2 linked regions of the Lepisosteus oculatus genome follow. The protein of the gene in region 2 purifies or fractionates together with the protein of the main gene of each other region. This does not show direct contact. Links are inferred from orthologs where the notes say so. Each region holds a gene or a part of one and is shown on either strand. Other genes may lie near its edges. The genes, in order: lig3 and aplf.

Region 1 (10,809 bases), on a different chromosome or scaffold from region 2:
ACACAGAGCACAAATCTTCCCGTTTTTCCTGATAAAATATTTTCGCCAGTGCCTCCCAATCCAGGGCCTGCTGCCGAGATCAGCGTGCAGGCGGAGTGGCGGAGACACGAGGAGGAGGAGGAGGGCCTGACCTGCTCGAGGTCCCGCACCATGTCGTCCTGGCTGCTGTTGAAGATGCGGCTGAACAGCTTGACGATCTGCTTGTCGTTCAGGTTGTACACGCTCTTGATCACCCCCGGGAGCAGCAGCTTCACGGTCAGGTACAGGTCTCCGCGGAAACCGTCTGCAACGAGCCGGGGGGCGGGAACACAGATACAAGGGGGTTAATACTGGGGCAGCCGCCTTTTCCAGGGGTGGGGTCTCGGAGTATGAACAACTGTGCCCAGGCCTGCCGTCACCTGGATTCAAAAACGGAAGGGGTCTGTTCACTGTTCTGCATAAATTAAGGATGAAAATTCTGTATTCTACACTTAAAAACTGCATAAACACTGAGCAACTCAATAAAACCACAGGCCTTTCTTTTCGACTCAAAGCATCAATGGTGTTCTGAAACAGCGAATTGCTGTTTTAATAAGATAAAGTAAAACCCTCGATTTCTAAGCGTCAATGCACAATGGTTAAAATCAAACTGTGTGTGATTTTATCACTTTGAGCTTCAGAGTGTTACGTGTTTTGCATATAGCCTGCAAGCAACAGAAAACTGTAAAAACGTTTACGGCTGGCGATGATTTTCAAATGGTCACAAGCTGAATTATTTTAAATGAACAACGTTTCGGCTGTGGAGCCCTCTTCAGGTGTCATACCTGAAGAACCCACCTGAAGAAGGCTCCACGGCCGAAACGATGTGTTTTCTTCTCTTTTCAGCATGGAATAAACCTATAACTTGTTCCTTCACAGCGTACACATGCCAACGCAGCTACCCACCTGAATTATTTTAAATGAGTTCTCCTTCATGCGGAAGACAAAGGCACGACAATTTTTACCTACGATCAGCCTGAGACTTTGCTGACGTGAGCTGCCGAATGCAACATTAGCCTGTATTAACTGACCCTTTGTTCACGGGCGGGCACTCACCCCCACTGGAGCCCTTCTTCAGGAAGTCCTGGATTATCTGCGTCTTGACGTTGTAACTGGCCTTCTCCGCCACCATGGCGCACAGCTTGCGGAACTCCCGCAACAGGCAGTCCTTGTGGCTGGGGTCAGACAGCTGGGCCGACAGGCTGCTGGAGCCCCCGGGAGAGCTGGAGGTGCCAGGCTTGGCGGCTGTCAGTCACAATCGACAGGGTTACCCATGGGCGCAGAAGAAATGACCAGTTATCCAGTTTCTAACCATCCTATCCAATACCATCCAAGGCCATGGGGTAGCTGGAGCCAATCCCAGAAGGCAATAGACGCAAGGCAGGATACACCCTGGACAGGACGCCAGTCCATCGCACTCATCCCCATTTTTATTAACTGGAAATACTCCCGCGATGTCACGTGATCTTTTAGTGGATCATTTTGCCTGTTCTCTTTACTTCAGTTTACACATCAACTGATTAAAACTGTGCTCTAAAAAAGGTTGACTTAGGCAGATTGGAGAAACTTTGACTATTTCTTCCTGCTGCTCGTGGCTTTCAGTTGGCTACAGTACAGGACAGGAAAGAGCAAACTGTGACAATGGCAGCACCTTCTTACCAGTGAATCCAGAGAACTTGCGTGGCGTCACAGGGGACAGGTCAGCCAGGCCAGTCTGAACCTTCTTCTTAGGGCTGTGGTTAGTCTTCGCAGCCAGATCTAGCCAAGCAACCACACACAAAAAACAGTGTCCTGTTAGTTTGTACCCTGCCCCTTTAAGAAATACATTTTTAATTACGCATAGCAACATAAGAGTTACAATAAATCCCAATTTCAAAATTCCTAAAGAATAAGTGGACAATACATAACAGAAAGATATGTTTCCAGATTAATTTTAATAAACATTCTCATGGTAAAATCTGTGAGAATGATTCATGAATAAGTGTTTTGCCTGCTGTCTTCTTAAGCATTATCCATCTCAAGAATTAATGGTTCCCAACTTTTTTTCTTTTTCAGTCATATAAAAGCACACTGGTTCCCAATCTTGGTCCTGAAGGGTCGGTGTGTCTATAGGTTTTCACTACAGCTGAGCTCATAATAACCTAAATCAGAAGATTCTTGTCTTTATTAGACCAGTTTAGCATCTTCTCCTGGCTCTTCAGCTGCTGCTCTAAGGCTGTGGTTCCCAGTCTTGGTCCTGGAGGAACACTATATGATCCTATATGTCAGTCCAGCTGAGCTCTCAAATGTTAAATGCTGACTTATTCTTGCTTGTTTTTACTTGTTTAGGTCAGTCCTGAGTGTCAAGGGTACTGTATCATCATATAGAACTTACACACATAACCTTTCCTTTATCTTAGAGTAAACAGCTCTTACAAATTCATCACCCGGCAATGAACAGACTTAGGTAGGAGTGGCACTGTATCAGACACACCCACAGGTGGGAGTGGCACTGTATCAGACACACATAAATTAAGATTTTGCAGATGTCCAATTGGTTACATTCCAGGCCAATACCAATTGTAAATCCCATTGGTCCTTCTAAGAGCTGAGAGGAAATGTTTCTAACACGAACCATTAGAAAACTGAAATCAATTAGCCGGTGCTTAATAACTCAACTACAAGAAGGAAAACAGACGAGACAGTGTTTCTCCAGGGCCAGCATTGGGAATCACGGCTCTGAAGAGACTTGGGCAACCCGCGGTCCAGAATCAGGACCAGCAGGACTGGGGAGCCAGTGTCATGGATTCAGAACTCCCATTCCCACATTGACTAACTGAAACAGAAGCACCCCCCCCCCCCCCTCCACCTGCAATGTGCTTGTTGATGAGCTCCTTATCCTCATCCTGCACCTCCTCCCAGCCCTCCAGGTCCGTTATGTCCTCGATCCTCCGGGTGGTGATCCGGGCGCGCTCCAGCTTCTCGAACATGCACTTGACGTGGTACCACTCCTTCATGTCGCCCGCGGACTCGCTGAAGGGGTTGGGCACGATCTTGCCGATGCGCACCAGCCCCTTGACGATCTTCTCCTTGCACTTCTTGCAGCCGGCTGTGCCGCGCTTGGCGTACTCCACGCAGTACCGTTGCTCGGGCATGGCCTCGCGCTCGCCGCCGCCGCCACACGGGGACCAGGACAGGTGGAAAGCTCGAGACGCTGGGGTCCGGGCACAGGCGTGCCAAGGCTTGCCGAGGAAGGCCTGGGACCGGGAGCTATAGGCCGCACACGTGGCACTCCGGTGGAAGTTGAAGGACTGAACGGATTCGCTGGCAGAAGCCTGATTCTGGAAGAGTTTGAGCAGCAGTGTGCTGAAAAGTGCTCTGCTTGTTTGGTGGGTGCAGAGTTTAAGCATGAAGCATACCTAGCTCATCACTTTAACACCTGAGGGGGAAGAAAGCATGGAGAATCAGCAGACAGACGAAGATGAGTCGATAAACGCCTTTCACAGAAAAGTGAGCAATGGAGAACTTCTCCTGGAGCTTTTTCCAGGTCGCGCCATAGCGGATTCGATTACTAGTTTTTTTTCTGTCTTTATCAAGAAAAGTGCCCAGAAAACAACGCTTTTCCTTCATGAGTTTAGTTTCAGCGTGAGCCTGGGCTTTTTGACCGAAGTTGTGAATTGGGTGCAGTTGATTAAAAAAAAACTCGGCAAAGTCCCCTTAAATGCAGCTGCTATTCTACAAAATATCTTGTGCCAAAAGAAATCGGTTCCGCGAGAACAGATGTTTTTTTTTCTCATTAAGCAACATTCTAACAGAAGGCAGCCTGTTTCCTTAATCTCTGTATGACTACAATGTTGCACCATGCAGGATAGTCTTAAATTATGATATTATACTGTACCAGGCAAATGAAGATATTCTAAGATTATCACCCTTCATGGCTGATAATCATAAACACTTTACGTGGTTTCAAGCTGAAATAGTTATGTCATCAACATTTTTGTCCACTCTATTCGGCTTTTAAATTAAAAAATAAAATTCGTAGTGCAAAGCACACTTTCTTCAACTTGACCGATTTTAGTATTGTGTGAAAACACAAAAATGGCTTAACTAAAGAGCAGATAGATTATAGATGGCCTTAATTTCCCACCACTTCGAGTTTGCTGTTTGCTGTAACGCACAAGTTCCCAGTAAAATGTCTTTCGCTTTTAGAATCCACTGTGCCGTGCTCGACCACAGCTAAAACAGACATTTTAATTTCCCAACGCCACGGAAAAAATCAGGAACCTTATGTAAAATGCACTTTACAATAAAAATGCTTAAGACCATGCTTACCGGTGTTATTCGTTTGTTACAGATGTGTTTGTGCTATTTTTGTACTTATCATTTTCTCCACTGTAGTGTGTTATTTTCAATGTGAGGTTTCCCCTTTAAACACCAGCCACGTTCCCCTTTTGTTTCCTGTCATATCCCACAGTGCGCATGTGCGACAGTTAAAAGTTTTATGCCGACAGAAATTCAGGTGTAAGCCGTGCCGGGGTATATCTTTAAAAATAACTGTAAAGCTATTAAACAGTGAACTATAAGTTTTGTTTCTTTAATTATTACTACACTGTCGCAAAGCTGCTGTAATTATGACTGCCATAGTTACAGCATACAGCGAATATAACATAAGAAGGTTTATAATCGAAATGGGGCTATTTATCTAGGCTAGCTCATGTGATTACGGGTAGGTCATTGATCAAAGGATCATTCAGGCTTTTTTTGAAAGAAGCTAGCCGCAATGTGTTTAAGCAGTTTACTCCAGATCCTCCCAGATATCTGTGTAAAGGTCTGAGACTTGTTTTTTTATGAAAGCCTTTTTTCAGGTTTGGTCGGCGGTGAGGTTTCAATATTCGCCTTGTCCTCTAGATGGAAGCATCGCTCTTTCACTGGAGATCTGTTTTGTCATAAGACTCCACAAAAGCACGCTTCTTCATGATCCAAAAAAGAAACTGGCATTGTATTTCTTTTCTACATGCACCCCACCATCACACAACCAAACAGTGACTGTCTATTGCCTTTTCCAATGTGATTGGACCCAAGAGACTGAAGAACTGGCTAAGCCCACATTGAAGAAAGCATGTGCCCTAAACGTAGAAAAAGAAACCAAGCTTCAAGAAGCCAGTCAGACGATACCTCCGATATCCATCCATCTGAAATCCTGACTGAGGGCATTATCTTCCCCACTCCTTTATACAGAAGCCCTCGATTTATTTTGCCCCAGGAAGACTTCTGTTATGGGGCTTTTTTTCTGCACCATGGACTCTTAAGTTACAGATCAGATATAAAAACTTTTATTGTTTCCTAACAGTATTAAATGTCAGTGCTTTCATTTGGCAACAGTATATCTGCTTCTGTTACATTGCAATGAGGGAAATATCAGAAAGTGAGGATTTATCACCGAAGTCCTTGTAGAAAAGCTAAGCCAGGTTCGTTACCTGTCATTCCTCATCTCAAGAAGCAGAGAATGTTACTATACGTAACACACCAGGCCATGGTATGTATTCATATGCTACACAGAGAGAAAAAAATCCAGGGTTACAGGTAACAATTAACACCTAAAGCTGCAGTCTGTTTTCTGGAAATTACTTGTGGGGGGACTGAACATAAGCAAGTTATTAGGTCTTATTTGAGTTTGGAACAACAAGGCCTTTTCTAGTGCACTGCACGCCCTCTGGTGTTCAGCAAGGAGTTTTGCTGCCACCTGCCACAATTCTTCAACAGTCGCTCAGGAAATGTAATGACAAAGGGCTCAATTCACAGATGATAGCATGTGCATCAGTTGATATATGGGGATTTAACAATTCAAATGCTAGTCTAATTGAATTTATTATTTTTTGGAGATACGCAATAGCTTGCCATCGGGATAACTCCTTTCTTCATCCTATCTACTGTATCTTTATGTCAGGTCAGATTAAAGTAGAAGATCAATCAGGTCACTGATAGCCTGTCTCGCTTCACATAGACAAGCAATTAAATTTTGGTTTAGAGGGAGACGTTTTCAAAAAGGTTTTTTTCTGAGCTCCCTGGTTTCCTCCCACCTCCTAGAGATTCATTTATGTCTTTGATTTATCTGTGTATGAATGAGTGTCTCCGGGCAAGTGCCCTATACTTGCAGAAAAGACTCTGGGCATTACCAGGAATAAGTGGCTTTCTTATGATGTGGGAAGGAACCTTTTAAATGATATATTTATGTGCAGAAACTGAAAAAAAAAACGTCATAATTTTGCTATTGTTACAGATAGGGGGTATAGATAATAGAAAGTGGGCAATAAAATAATTAAAATAAAATACATTAACACAAGGAGTACGCAGTTGTGGCACATGAGTTTTGGCACATGCTTTGTTTATTCTCTGGCACAGTCCTGGTGAAAGAGCAATTAATCCATTTGCAGAGAACTGCAAACGTTTTTCTGAGATGTGAACTTTCAAGATGTGAGTGGCTAACAGATATCACAACCACTGTAACAGGATGCATCTCAGAGGAACACTTTTTTTTCAGTCACCTACCTGAAGTACCTGAACTTGACTTGACTAGATTCATATTTTTCTCACGTTTACAAGTAACTCCTTCAAGGAAAAATTCCAGAAATAAGTTTACCGAAGACACAAAAGGCGAATTGATTTTGACCATGTCTCACTTTCACTCTCCTCTCTTTGAAGGAAGTGAAAAGACTGTGATACATTTCCAAACTCAATTAGAGAGCCTGCCAATGAGGTAGTGGTCCCACGAGGTGGGGAAACTTAATTAAGTAACCTGGCATTCAATGGTTGCTGCTCCACGATTAACAGTTAAACACAAGAAAATGAAGTCTTGCAGTTGTTTGAGCCCCATTACTTGAAGAAACGTGACTCCAAAAGCCCTCACACGGCAAATTGAAGCCAGATTTGATTTGGAAATCTGTCAAAGTGCCCAGGACACAGATCACTTTCCCAGGCACAAGAGCAATATTCTTTTCTTTGCTCGTAAAGTTCTTTGTTTTATTTTGCAGCATTAATTAAAGAGGTTAAAATACCACTTCATCTACATCACTGATCACTTTCAGTGCTTCTTTGCACTCATAAAATACAAGCTGAACTAATTGTTCAAAGGTACAGAAAACTTGCAGTGCTGGGAGAGTTGTTTCAGCTTCTTTCTCTGTTAGTAAACACTGTATGTTCTAGGTGCTTCTGCTCCCAGGAGACGTAAGAAAAAGCAGTAGTCGTGTGTTTGTGTGGGTTTCCTCCTGCTGTCCAATGGTGTATTTGGAAGTTAATTGGCTTCTATGAAATTGGCCTTGGTGTGAGTGTGAGTGTTTGTGTCTGTGTGTGTGTGTCCCCTGCAATGGACTGGCAGACCACCCAGGGTGTATCTCATCTTGTGCCTGTTGCTTGTCAGGTCTGGTTCTGTCTCCCTCATGGCCCTGTATTGTACTGTGGTTCGAACATGGATAGATGGTTTAGTAATGAGCTTCACCTTATACTACAGGATATGCTGTGTGGCCCTGTAGATGAAAGAAGAGAGAGAATTTTCAGTATGACTTTTAAAGGTTATGAACAGCTGCAGTAGTGCGCCAGTTCTATTACATTTGTACATGTACAGTATTCTTTTTCTCATATTCTGTGCTCTTTGTAGCTTGCAGCCCTGGACAATTGTCCTAACTATCTTTGATGGCTCTAATCCTAACCCTGTTCTCCCCACACACAATGGGTGGCTATGTACAGTAAGTAATTCATTTTAATGATCCATTCTCCAAATGTCATCTCAAGTCAGATGAAGACAGATGTAATAATTGAGCAAGTGACAGGGTTGCTATGTAAATGACTAATTAATTTAATGACCAGCTCTGCTGATAAGGCCTAGAGTAAAAATAGAATCTGTCTCTCCAGTACCATTAAGAATTCTACTCAAAGACCTTGGTGTGAGCCCTTCATTTCAACAAATAGAGCAACAGAAAGCAGGAGGAGAAGCAAACACTTATGATAAAAAGAAAATATGTCAGTTATGATCTGCAGCAGCCCTACAGAACATCCCCTTGCTTTAAAAATAGTTTTGGGGGTTGCTGTTCAAATACAAATCTTTGAGTTGTGCAGGTTTACAGACTTCATTTGATTATTCAATAGACACACACTTAGGCAAAATATATTAATATATTAATTCACAGTGCTGTAGTGACTGGTTTTGTCACACAAGTTCACTACTAGAGAAAAAACAGACTTATGAAAAGTGGTCTTTAGTCCCTTTAAGTCCATTTTAATTCAAAATGTTTGAAAGCTACAGTGAACAATGTTGTTTAGTGAGCCAATCCTGTTGCCCCAAACAACAATTCTCTTTATCTGCAAATATATTTTTTTTCTAATTTTTAAGATAAGAAAAATTAAATTTCCTAGAGAGCCACTCTCCTGGAGTGTATTAATAAATAATACTCATTGGAACATTACACTCACCTGGTAAGTCTCTGAATAATGAACATGTTGGCTTTCCTAATTCATTTGGCCGTAAGGCGGATGCACATATCTCTGTTTTCAGCTGACAGAAATAAATATTGCATCATTGTTATTGCCCTCAATTGCCGCCCACCAAAATGTCAAGGCATTTAATCTGAAATTTTTTGTGCTGCCTCTGTCTCTTTTTTTCTCTCCCGCCATTGATCAACAGCAGTGACTCAGTGAAGAATCTGGTGGAGGCTTTCCAAAAACCAGCGTCTGAAAATTGGAATGAAGCTCTGGCGCCACAAGGTTGTATTTAAATCGTTTGATTTCCAATTTAGCACACCTGGCATCCACAGAGCCCCCCCGAGACTCCGTCCTGCTGATTAACTCTGTGATGAGCCGCTGTGGCAACAAGCAATCTCCTCACTTTCTTCGCTGTCTTGCAGAATTTACTGCTGCTCTGGGGCCGGGCTGAGGCAGGCAGGTCTTGAAAGTGCAGCCTGCAAAGGTTTTCAAAGCCAGCCAAATGTAAAACCTAGGAAAATGGTCACCTAACAAGACAAAATGCATTAAATCACAGTATTAATATTGCTGTTATATACTTATAAACTTTCCCCTCCATCAGGTGATGGAGAACCTTTTTCCCATTCCTTTTTGGAAGGTTATTCTTGTTTTCAACAATTTTTTTTCACTGCAACGTTCACTATCCCCCATGGCACCCTGCCTAGGGCATTGTTCTTCGGCGTGCCCCACGGGGTACGGGCGCCATGATTGGGGTGCTGTCCTGCCATGTACCTCATGATTTATTGGGGTTCTGTGTGGGGTGCCACTCTGTATGTGTTAGGTTACCTGTCTTGTAAATTTATGTCTTTAACATTTAGGATACTAATCAATTTTATATGTCTATATTATATAGTCTGTGGCCTAAGGATTGATAAATACTTTTTGTTATTTGTTAATATGTACAGTCCTCTGCTATGCCCTTTTAAGTTATGTTTACTTTAGAGGAGAAATGTCCCTTAACTGTTCAACAAGTCATAATGCCACCCCAGGAATGTAACACAAGCTTCAAAATCCATTTTGGCCCATCGGCTTTCAGGTTTTGGTGGTACACATTCAGCAAACACTCCTTCAGGGTCAAATTAAGCAGGATGTGACATTTCCAAATGGACATACAGTAACCAGCATGAATTCATCACAGCTGGAAAGGAGGCGACATCTGTGCAGAACTAAACAGAACTGTCAAGATTTTTCAAAGCATGACTTTGTTTTCTGCAAGTCATGCACTGAAACTAAATTTAAGTACAGAAAGGAAATTATCAAATGTGAAATGAGTTGCATAAAATGAATCGGTACTTTAATGAAACAACAACAGTGTTACACATCATTAAGCATTGTTAATTATAATATACAGGCATAAAACACATACTGTACAGTATATACTGTATAGATTTCTCACAAATCCTCTGTCACTGGTAACTTACTGCTGTGCTTCCTTGTCTTTCCCTAGTAGTACTTTGACATTTCGATGTTTCCTTTCAAACCTCAGACTCAGAAGATGTACAATTTAACAACAAGCTACAGTACGATATTTCAAAACAAAATGCCCTTAGCTGGAATATGCAGCTGGAATATTTCTTTTATTTGCACGGAATTCCGAAGGGTTTTTCTGTTGGTATCACATTTCGGCAGCCATTGGTTCTGCTGGGTTTCCTCAAACTTTTGCTCATGCAAAGATGCCATCTGGCCTTGGCGATCGCTCAGGCCTGTTCTGCACAGCACGGCCTTCTTACAAAAGCAACACGGGACATGAAAACAAAGCCAGCATGAAGAGACTGGGACCATTCACAAAAACGACAGGAACTGTCGGAAACGACTGGAACCACCACCAGGGAGGATTTCAGAAGCCCCAGTTTCTCTTAATCGAAGGACCGTTTAAAACCTTCATGGAGCTAGGAGGGATGAAGGCCGTGTCCTGGTGGTCATAATGCAACTTTTCATCCTTCCCTGAACCCATCAATAGCTTTAGGTTATTAGTAGCAAAAATCAGAACAATAATTTAAATTAACATAGTTGTGATAAGCTGCTGGAAAATGCACCTGCTACAGGTCACACAAAGCAATTACTGGGTTCTCCAGAAGCCCTCTGTCTGACCCTATAACTGCAATCGTGATGTACCAGTTTATTGCTAGTATGAGGCAGTACACCTGTGCTTCAGTTCTCTTTTCCCTTATGTATTTATGCTCCGGCATTTCGCAGAGCAACATATCAAACTCAAACCGATTTGTTTTTACACAGTTTTCATAATGTTTCTCATTTAACCAGCAATCACTTGTTTCCGCACAATGGTCACCGCAGGGA
Region 2 (11,700 bases):
ATTTGCTGGCACTCTTCAGCTTCATCATTAGTGCACTGCTTGCGTTAATCTGCGAGATTTGATTCCAACCCCCTCCCCACAACCCCTCTACTATTTCTGAAATTGTATCCATCATCTGTAATAAATTTATTTTACTAATCCCATTAGAACTCTAGCTAAATAGGTACGGTAGGATGTTTAGTGTCCAGGTTTAGTCTACATAATTATGACCTGAACTCAACATCTAGTTGGAACCTTTATTCGTCTTGTTAAGGAGCAGCACATTAACACTACTTGGTCCTTCCAGTGAGAAGAGATAAAAGCACAGGTATCCTAAGAGCGACAGACACCTCCTCAACTTCATTTCTCTGAATTGAAATATGTATAAAATTGTTCACACTCCATTTCCCAGTGTAGAAGAAATTGTTCACTCCCTTCTCTCCTTGATGTATTCCTCCGCAATAACTCTCTACACCAGCAATCATGGATAAAACACTTCAGTGAAAAGTTTTCTTTTGAAAGAAAAATATTGATGAATGCACAAATATTTTAAGATTTGATGAGCAACATCTTTTGCTCTATTTGTGAGTCTAATGGTATCTTTTGGCAAGGTACCATTAGAAATAATTGTTTTATAACACAAGATACAGTACATACAGGTAGCTCCTAAAATAAAATATAACCAACAAAAAGTGTCTTAGAGCAATGGGTCACCACAAGCCACTAGAACAGCTTCAACACACCTTGGCATAGTTTCCACAAGTGTCTACTCTAGTGGAGGAATGCAACACCATTCTTCCACGAGAAACTCCATCAATTGGTGTTTTGTTGATGGAAAACACTGTCTCAGGCACATTTCTCTCATAAATGTTCGATTTGGTGCTTGGACGGCCATGGCATGTACATCAAACCATTCAGTGACCACTCGTGCCCTGTGGATGGGAGCACTGACATCCGGGAGGATCTCACTCCCATCAGGATAAAAATGCTCCACTACAGGATGTACGTGATTACCCAGAACGGCTTTGTATTTAGTGGCATTTACCTTGCCATACAGAACCGCCAGAACCCTGCACTGTGGGAAAGAAGCACTGGTGCCACACATATACTTATCCACTTGCTGGAAACAGAGTGAAGAATGACCAGGATCTGACAGTATGACTTTCTTCCACTGCTCCATGCCAGTATCACCTTAGCTACTGATGTCCTCATAAAACATCAGCAAGATGAGCAGCCTTCCTCACCAAAGTTCCTGCTAAACATGCCACAACATTCACCCCTCTATGAAAGTCACTGAGATCTCTTCATCTAGTCACGGCAGCCTAAACAATGGGCAACTGGGCCTGCCCAGCCTTTTTATACATGACCCTAAGCATGATGGGATGTTAAATGCTTATTGAATTCAGGGTCCACACCTGCATAGAAGCACCTGCTTTCAATATACTTTGTGTCCCTCATTTACCCAAGTGTTTCCTTTATTTTGTTAGTGAACTATCTTGCATGAGATCCATAGACATCTTTATGGCATTGTGGCATCTTGCTTCAAAATCAGTCACTCTCTGCATCTTAAAGGAACCTTTTCATTTTCCAAATGTCCAACACACACTTTGGACCCTGCAAGCATAAAAGCATATTTGCTAAGCTTGGAAGATGCTTTATTGTTTTCACAATTCTTAATACACAGCAAATACACAAGACAGAAAGATCCTTAAAGATTCATTTCTTTCTGTTTACTTGACCAAGAAATCTCAAAATCTAATTTCTCTGGAGACATCTCCAGGGCTCACAGATATAAGGCAAAATCCAATGATTTGCAGACCAGTGACAAAGCAATTACCCCACTGATTATTCTCTTAGTGTTAGGAAATCACAGGAGGAAATGTAATTTATGTTTCTCCTTACAATCTAGATCAGAAGAAGGTGTGTGCGTGCCTGTTAAACCATGTGTCTACTTTATGGAATAGAATCAGTAAAAAAAAAAAGTACTCAGCATGCAAACATTTTACAGTACATCTAGATTTATACTGGTGTGGCAAAAATGAAACTTGTAGTAAACAGTGCCTATAATTTGCACCTTGAAAGGCTAAAAGCTCAGGACTCACAACAAAATAAATTATTCTTTGTAATAACTCTTTTTAAGTGACAAGGGTTCATAAATTAACATCGCCCGGTTTTAGCTCACAAAGGCAGCAGTCTGCTCCTCCATCCATAATACCATTATAGACTTGATTTTTTATAAAAGCTGATAGACTCCAAAGTAATCTGAAAATAAGAATTCAAGAAAAGCTCCCAACTTTAGTGATGTGCTTTTTGCTGACAGAAAGCCTTGTATTACAGTGCCATCTAGGAGTGCAGAGTGGGCTCAAACGCCAAAATAAAAAAGGCTTCTACATTTATATCACATTTCATTTCCTGCATTACTATATTTGAAAAGAGATCTATCTTATGGGTGTTACAGAACATTACTCAATATTACCTTAATTTATATTATCTGATAACACATGTAATCGTTTACTACATAGCTTGTACACATCAAACATTGGGTATTAACATCCCCTACCTTGGACGTTTTTCTTTAGTTTGTGTGATAAATAAAACCAGGCTTTTTGTGAAAGAAATCTGTTACTCATGCCAGCAGCTAGACTGACTTTGGAAGACTGTGTGGTCTTCCAACAGTAAAATTTCAATTTCTGTTCTCTTATTCTAGTCCCGTGTTTCTCAGACCTATAGCTGCCAAATTTCACCAATTTTTGTTTTGCATTTGCAAGATACAAACGGTTATGTGCATGTCCCTTGTATAGTATACACAGAATTTTAATTATATACTAGTGCAAAATATATTGCTGCAGGTAACAAACACAAATTAAATCAATGTGAGAGTTAGGGAAGTATATGATTTTCTGACTTTTTGCAAGGTAAATCTGCCCTTTCTATGCTTGTACTTTATTCTGCCACAGCCTACATGCTGGATGTGATTTCACTACACTTTAAAACGCTTTGCTTTGATCACAGTAAACTTTAAAGCAGCTATGCTGAGGATTTAAGTTTATGTTTGAATTGTTCGTTTTGTAAAGATGTTTTTAAAAGTCAGAAACTGGAGTGACTTTTCTTTCTGAAGAATATTGTCATATTGACTGGTATGCCATTTGAGGCTATGCTGCCCACTTGTGGTAAAGAAGAACGTTTCTGCTATTACAGACACCCACGATTAAATGTATATGTTATATACCTCATAGGATCTTAAAGTGCTTTGCTCATAAGAGGGGACCAACTTTATCCACCGATGAAGTGTAGCATCCAGCTGTTATACACGACGGTCAATATTGTGTTGATTACACGTCACAAATGTCTAAATGTTCTAAAATATCTTGCTTTTAAGCAAAATGAAATAGCTTGACTGTACCTCTTACAAGTAAAATATCTGCAGTGCTTAAGGAAATAATTGAGGTAGGTTTAAAAAACACGTACCCTGAGAAGAGGTCCTCTTCCAATTAAGGTTTCTCCAACTGGTAGCGGGATTGAACAGTTCCCGTCCAATGGTTCCAGTTCAAATCCCGACATGTCCACCTATCCTGCAGAATCAGAATTATACAATATACATTTTGACGCATTCTGCGTGTGCTTCACAAATGCAAGTCATAAACATTAAAACAACCGAATGGTCAATTACAATGTGTGACTAAACCTTGGGTTTTGGAACCTCAGTTAGAGTCCTAAGATCAAATCAGACTTCACTCGCTGGTCAATTTTTGTTACTGTGGTGTGTACATATAAGCATTCGATTCAGAAGAGAAACCTGAGCAATTACCCAACATGTAATTTAAGTCTAATTTGCCTCAATCCATTAGGTCATCAAATGTTGCACATTTATATGGCTAGGATGTCTTCAATAGTCTTCATATATATATCAAGTTCATATAATTTTTCTTCAGTACAATAAAGGTATTAAAACTTTGCTGATTAACGATACAAACAACAGTATCACTGTTTTTTGACAACCCTGTATTTGTGTAGTTGTATAGTTTTGCAGATGCTTAACAAGAAATCGAGGTACATATGCGTTATTCAGTACAATAAAGTACAAATAAGGTCCTTACGAGAAACATGCTCAAACGTGCTACTGATACCAGGCTATAGTGCCACACTTTCGTTTTAAAGGTCTGCTCTACGAGCTTAATCAATACCTGTGGTCTGATTTTTCGTTTGCCACCTGGTAGGCACTCAGATAACAGTTCAAAATCGTGTTTATTTCCGGTAATTTTACAACATAGCTCAAGTCGCATGCACCGACTATCACATAGAATTCTGGGAAATGTGGTCGTTTACACTACGATAAATTAAGGCCACTTTGAAATATACCAGGATTGAGACAACATTTTCCAGATTTCACCAAAATTGGTAAAAACCTCCATAAAAACGTAACACCTCCACATGGTGCCTTAACGAATACCTTGAAATTTTTGGACAGAGCTATTTTTATAAAGGTAAAGTTCGTATTCAAATTAAGAGACATATTTAATACTGTTAATTTATATTTAAATACAAATTTAATTTGAGTATTACAAGAATAATAAAAAACTGCTGTGCGTGCATTTCTACAAACTTCATTTCTCTAGTGACACCGTATTCTCTTCCCAAAACCCAGCGGTCGTCCTGTAAATAAACTACATTTCCCAGACACTTCCTCGACTTGCACGCATGCGTTTTTGCCATGTTGGTCAGTAGGGGTGCGTCATTGCGTAAATAAAAATTTGAAAAGGATAGGCATTTAAACTGTCAGCTGTCACATAATGACGTGAACCATAAGAAGGTATGAGTTTAAACGGTCTACAGTTAGTAATTTTAAAAAGAGATTAGTTGTATGTAGTTATGATTTTAATTTTAAAATAAGTCGTGACTTTAAAGCGTTAAAGCAGTCATTTATCTTTTAAAAACGTTCATTTTCTGATCGGTTAAAGGCGTAATCTGTTTATTTTCTAGCACTGGTAACGGCATATGGTGAGCCAGGTAATTTTTAAATCTAAAAAAGCAATTCAAAGTTAAACACACTTATGGTACCCGTACGTAAACCGCGATTATAATGTTTGCAAAATATCCATTTATATATTTATATGTTATTATATTAATAACAATGTAAACATTACTGCCTGTTTCATGACCCGGCAGAGATTATGTTCATAAACATACGTGGCAGTAAGTGTTAATTTGATTAACCCTCCCCTCCTTCACAAAAAGACGGTAATAAACGGTGATCTGCAGTAACCTTGCACTTCCCCTTGTCGTGTGATTATTGCATCTGATAGGATTTCGTCGTGTACATATATGTATATCAGCTTAGTTCTTGGCAAAATAAGGATATGAATGCAGACTTCCGCGAAGTGAACAGCTAAACATATTTCTTAATTTGCCCCAGTAGTAAATCTTCTGAGTTTTTAAATGTACCCCCCACACACACACAAATAAAATTACAGTATAACACAATTTTATATTTATTCGATGTTTTCGACAATGCTCTGTAGTACTGTTATTCAAGGTCCTTTTAGTTTTGTCCATTGTGGGTTTGCACAGCACGTTTTACTGAGGATGATTAACGGTGGGATTTAGAAAAACGATTTAAACAACTAACCCCACTAAAATATTGCGAACACTATTTTTTATGAAATGTAATTTTATCAATAGGCGTTATTAATTACAGAACACCTTACGTGTGTAAAAGGGGTAGGAACTCTCACAAAGTAGGCTTTTGTTCTAATATTGCAGTTTGTTCTGATAGTGGGATTAACCACTACGTTAGGAAAGAGTAGTTCAAGTAAGTAGGTTCTTCACACCAGAAGAAGGCTCCACAGCCGAAATATTGTGTTTATTTTCTTCTCTTTTCAGCCTGGAATAAACCTTTACTTGTTCATTGTAGAAAAGGTTTGTGAAAATTCAATAGAATTGTGGGAATTACCATTTCTTACCATGATGTCTTGCTTCATCTAACCTGGTCTTTAAAACCAAATGGGTTTATATTTACTAATTCAATGATTTTTGAGACACAATGGTCTATGAAGCCAAAAAAGCATTAAATCACAAAGATTTTTTAAGAGAAGCCTGGAGGAGTTTTTTTCTGTTGATCTTTTTGTTAATTAAATAATTGAAGTATGTGTTATGTCTTTGTGTTATACATATATATATATTATGATATATAGTTCAGGTGGGTAGCTGCGTCAGCATGCGTAGGCTGCAAAGGAACAAGTAATAGGTTTATTCCATGCTGAAAAAAAGAAGAAAGAGAACACAACGTTTCGGCCGTGGAGCCTTCTTCAGGTGTGAGAGAAATTTTGGAAGCAGAGCTGGCCCTGTCTCTCTCACACCTGAAGAAGGCTCCACGTCCGAAACGTTGTGTTCTCTTTCTTCTTTTTTTCAGCATGGAATAAACCTATTACTTGTTCCTTATTATGATATATATATACTTAATCAGGATACTTTCTTAATTTATAAAGACTTTCATGAAGATCTAATTAAGTTTTAGATCTAAAATATGCACAGATATGGACAAACCTACAGGGTTCACAAACCTTTTCTTACATTATACCAATACTAGTATATGTTCAGATCTGAAAATGAGCCGTTTTGAAGAGCGTTGTTTTGCTTTCAGGACAGCCATTCTGTCATTCCTAGAGGCGAGAACTTCAAACTATGCAGTATGTTTCTAAAAGAAACAGAAATACCTCTACTTTCTCAGAAGGAAGCTGCAGTCTGATCTCAAGAGAAGGCCAAGGATACAACTTTGCTGACATATTACCTCCAGAAATAAGTCTGGAGATTTTCAGCAAGCTGGACGTTAAAAGCTTATGCAGTGCTGCTGTGACGTGTAAACTCTGGAACAACATCATTGAAAACAGTGACCACCTGTGGAGGAATCACTGCCTGACAGTCAGAGCTATCTGTCAGAGAGAGGTGGATGAGGACAGAGGGGATGGGTTTTCTTGGAAGGTCAGTATTTTTATTTTTATTATATTATATTCATAACAATTTCATGCAAAAGTTTATCAGCGTGTAGTTTTCAATTAATTTGAAAGATTTTAGCTTTTCAGTCCTTTAAAAGATTTAGTGCGACAGTGTTGTACTTTTATCTGATGATCGTAAGTAGTAAATCACTATACATCTTGTATTATTTATTTGCTTCATATTCTTGGTCAAATGTTTCAGCAGGCATTGTTTTCAGTGCATTGTAGAATCAGTGGAAGACTACATCAGTATTATTGAACATTATATAATTCCAGTCCTCACAAATTCACACCATCATGGGTAAACTGCACACTATATAAAGTAAGTTTGTTCCACTCAGTCTTATTAATTTAGACAGGGTAATGAGGTTAATATTATGTAGGGATTTGGCTAGTGTATTTTACAGAGTCACAGTAATTGTTTAGTGCAAGAAAGGTAATATTTTTGTTTGTGTCTGTTTTTGTTCATTTTCTAGGTCACATTAGTTAGAAACTACTGGAAAGGCTGTGTGAAAAGAGAATGGCTCAATGGCAGATACAGCAACATTCGCTCTTCTCATGAACTTCCGAATAAGAGCATGTACCCTTTAGATGCAGAAACCTGGGGGAAAATTTTGGAAGCTGAGCTGGAAAGATAGTGGGTGGCTGCAGATGTACAGTATGTGTGGAGCACTTCTGAAAAGGGGATTTTGAACCTCCTTTTTCACATTTACTGTACCTTTTGTAAATAATTTATTTTTAATACCTTCAGTGTAATTTTATCTTTTTTATTGAAAACGTATCAGACATAGGATTTATAAATTCAGTAAATCCTATTTTGTTTTGTCCATGTTCTGCATGCTCAGAATATGTGGAGAAAAAAGTAATTAATCTGTGCTTTAATTCCCTGTTTAATCAGTCCCTGATTTTGTTGTAAATAAACACTCATCATGGGAAACAGATCTGTGCAAGTTCTAGTTTAATGTCAACATGCCATATAACAGACACAAATTCAGCACCTATTCACAAGCCAGTGTGAAAATATTGGAGACTTCAAAAAATATTTAGGCCTCATCACAAAGGTTTTTCAAAAGGCTTTTTTTATCAATAAGTTTTATTGTTGATTCTTCTTTATATTAACTACTACTTTATGCATTTCTTGAAGAATGTTTATTATATATTAGAGCTTGATCATTTTTCTATTCATGTAAATACAGTGGAATTTGCAAATTTATATATACATGTACAATATATATAAAAATGTTGTAAGACAGTGTAATGGGTTTTAAAGAAGGAAAATTGCAATTTCTCACTGGCTCTAGTAGTTCTAAAACAGTACACAATCTACAATATCTGTTGTTTGCAACACTTAAAGCTATCAGCAGGGGGAGATAGCACAAACGCACACAACATTAGAGGCTACAAAACTAATTAATGAAACATTTCTATAAAGATTAGAAAACGCATTGTGAAAGTGAACAGGTTTTTCAGTTATCGTTTTAGAACAAATGTATTGTTTAAGGTGCTATATTTGTTAGTGTACTGAGTGTACTATTGTGGACAGTTTGGGACCTAACACCAGTACTTAATGTATAAAGCTGTATATTATATGTATGAGAATTCTTTAGTGTTAGATTTTTAGTCCTTTAAAAGATTTAGTGAGACAGTGTTGTACTTTTATCTGATGATCGTAAGTAGTAAATCACTATACATCTTGTATTATTTATGTGCTTCATATTCTTGGTCAAATGTTTCAGCAGGCCATGCTGTAATAGACCATAATTTATCCTGTCAGACAGAAATGTGCTGAAAAGAAAAAAAAACTCCCAGACATTTACTAAATAACCAGAAAAACAGTATAAAATTGCTAGAATTGCCATACTTTAATCCACCATAAAACATTTTACATGCATTTTGCACCAAAACCTATGTAAAGAGTATATGGTATGTTTTATCTATGTATGGGCATGGAAACTGTTTTAGCAATGAGCCATTTATATTACATTGTGTGGGAAAAGAGAGATTTTAAAAAGGACAAAAGCATTTTTAGCTTGGATGTGTATATACATTTATTTAGTGCTATGTATATTATAATTATAATTATTCTATTTATTATTTAGTGCTATTGTGTGAATTAGTAACTTTCTGAAATTAGTCAACCATGGTAGCAGTTTAAAATTACTTATGCCTTATGATAAAGGATGGATACAAGCAGAATGACACATTCTGTCAGAACTGCACTGCCCACAATATCCGCTGCTAACATGGTTAATTGGCTGCCTGTCTTAGATAAAATGCCTGCCTTTTACTGCATATGTGCATTGTTTAAAAAAAGTCCTGAGAGATTATCACAAACTTAAAATGACAACCTTTCACTAAGAGGCAAGATGAGTTGTGTTAGTTCAGTAACAGGAACCTGCTGCATCAAATAGATTTCTCTGAGAAGTTTCCTGGGTCTGAATTAAAAATATTGAATACAACTGAACGGGCTCCTACTATGATATACAGTAATACCATGTTATAGCCATTATTAAAAACACTTAACAGTTTAATGTACTTTTCTATTGTTTTTCCAGAGGTGTATTTGTAAATATTGTATGTTGCATTGTTTTTGGTTTTCCTTTGTCTTAGTTATATCAATATGAAGGTGTCTACAGCTCTTCAGAGCTCAGTGGAGATATAGACATTTGATGTGTAAGCATTAGATCACACACAGTACAAAAGCAGCTTTTCAACATTAAATACATTCAATTGTGTGTTAGCAAACACAACATGTAAAAGCATCTAAATTATAACAAAGACAGCTGTGTTCTTTTACTTCAGTAGTTTCCATTGCCTGTGTGATCCCAGCATTATTTGCAGTCTTTGTGTGTGTGTGTTTTTTGGGTAGGCCTTTTAATTTTATTTTCTTGCACTGCATGTTATTTTAATACCTTATTATTTAATATTACTTAGAGCACTGTGAATCAACAATCAGAAAGGATGCATATACAAAACCTTCAAACTTGGTAATTAGATTGAGTAATTTACTAGTCTGGTAAGGAACCATTTTCATTTTTAACTTTAATCTAGCATAGATGTATCTATGTATCTATAATTATATACCAAATCAGTGGTAATCTACACTGCACTACACTGTAGTGTTGTTTTTTCTTTTCATTTTCATGTTGCCTTGTGCAATACTAACCCAGCTGGGCTTTAAATATGTACTGGTAATGGGTGTATTGAGGTTATGTACAGTACACACCCAATTTTTCAGTTCCTCTGAATCCCATGTATCTTATTTTATTTCTTTTGTACTTATAATAGGGTGAAGACATACAATGTGAAAGCATAAACATATTTTATGTTATTTTAATAATCAGAAAGAATAGGGAATCACTCTTTGTTGGTAAGACGAGCTTACTGGGTATTGCAAACTCTGATAATACAGAACATCTATTTTTTCCTGCTATTATAGTTAGATATATATTGTCTGCTAAGATCTGTGCGTAGCATTTTAATAGATTATCTTAAATGTCAAAAGACAAAACTGCAAAAGTCCTAAAACAAGCTTTTAAAAACAGTTTTCTTTTCCCCAAAAAAAATAACATTTAGTTTCATTCTGCAATATAAATATCTGAAAAAAAGAGGAAGAGTTTTTTTGTGTTCGCAGAATTATTATAATGTCTTTGAATGTCAGTAAAACTCAGCATTTCCCAACACAATCTTCAGATTAGACAGAGGAAGTATACTGAAAGACTGGGGGAATAGGGAACAAATGATTTTCAATCCAAACTAAAACCCTTGATTTTTAGTTTGTCTTGTGGGCACAGTGTATTTTAAATACAATTACGGCTGATAGTTGAGATGAAATTCTTTTATATTTCTTTTTTGTTAAAAGTGAGATTGATTATTACATTAACAGGCTATGGGACTATGGTATTAAATGGCCTTTCTTTATTGTGGAGTTTTGAGGTATTGCAATTAAAGAGAGGCAACATAATGCCGTAATCACATAGGCATTACTAGTTATAGTGGGAACAAATCACCATCTATGAATTCCCCTTGAAACACACCACCAGAAAGCAATAATTTAGAGTAGTCCAACCTAACCAGCTTGCCTTTTGGAGGTGGGAGGACACCCACACAAACAAAGGGCATATTTGTAGACTACACACTGAAGGAACCCCCAAATTGAATTGAAGCCCTGAACAGTGATTCTTGGCAACATGTAACCAACACAACAGCAAAGTGAAATGGGTCAAAGGTTTTTCAGTATTCACTAACAACTCCAACAACTCATGATTGCATACATCACTTCTGTGCTGCAATATTCATACTGTAATACTACAAATTCCCAAAAGTTGCAATAAACTGTTAACAGAAAAGTCAGGGAGGTCTTTAATGTGCTAATATAATACAAAATCAAAACCTGGACATCTGGATTAGGTGGGTGATTTATCCAATATTATAAAATATTGCAGATTTCAACTTTTGATCAGTTAAAGAATACCCAACAACACATCCTCACATACAAACACATTATAAAGATGCCACAACACTAAATACACTAAAAACCTGCTCTGAGACATGAAGACATATTGTCATGTCTAATTTTAAATTGAATAGATTTTCCTCATGACAATTTACATAAATAGGGGTCAGATGCCACACTTTCAGAAGCTTTGACCTCTGAATTATGTACAGAATATTTTTTCTTCTGTTATCGTTAAGTCTGTTACTGTTTATACAGTACACAAGAAAATCT

The links.
Region 1: the proteins of aplf (region 2) and lig3 purify together in Homo sapiens (affinity purification with mass spectrometry; 3 studies listed by BioGRID and IntAct, counting the BioPlex papers as one, with this or other methods). This does not show direct contact. The link is inferred for Lepisosteus oculatus from reciprocal best matches to the Homo sapiens genes APLF and LIG3.

Annotation. Positions count from the first base shown.
Region 1 is NC_090721.1:1,740,092-1,750,900, forward strand, and holds the start of lig3 (DNA ligase 3), read right to left. Parts: upstream 4,448-10,809; 5' UTR 4,330-4,447; intron 3,437-4,329; 5' UTR 3,408-3,436; coding exon 2,867-3,407; intron 1,777-2,866; coding exon 1,678-1,776; intron 1,264-1,677; coding exon 1,075-1,263; intron 284-1,074; coding exon 132-283; intron 1-131. UniProt on the Homo sapiens protein: Isoform 3 functions as a heterodimer with DNA-repair protein XRCC1 in the nucleus and can correct defective DNA strand-break repair and sister chromatid exchange following treatment with ionizing radiation and alkylating agents.
Region 2 is NC_090712.1:8,480,669-8,492,368, forward strand, and holds the start of aplf (aprataxin and PNK-like factor), read right to left. Parts: upstream 4,235-11,700; 5' UTR 4,164-4,234; intron 4,160-4,163; exon of another isoform or gene 4,077-4,159; intron 3,552-4,076; 5' UTR 3,541-3,551; coding exon 3,448-3,540; intron 1-3,447. Other genes in the region: fbxo48 (F-box only protein 48), read left to right, coding at 6,661-6,957, 7,448-7,609. UniProt on the Homo sapiens protein: Histone chaperone involved in single-strand and double-strand DNA break repair.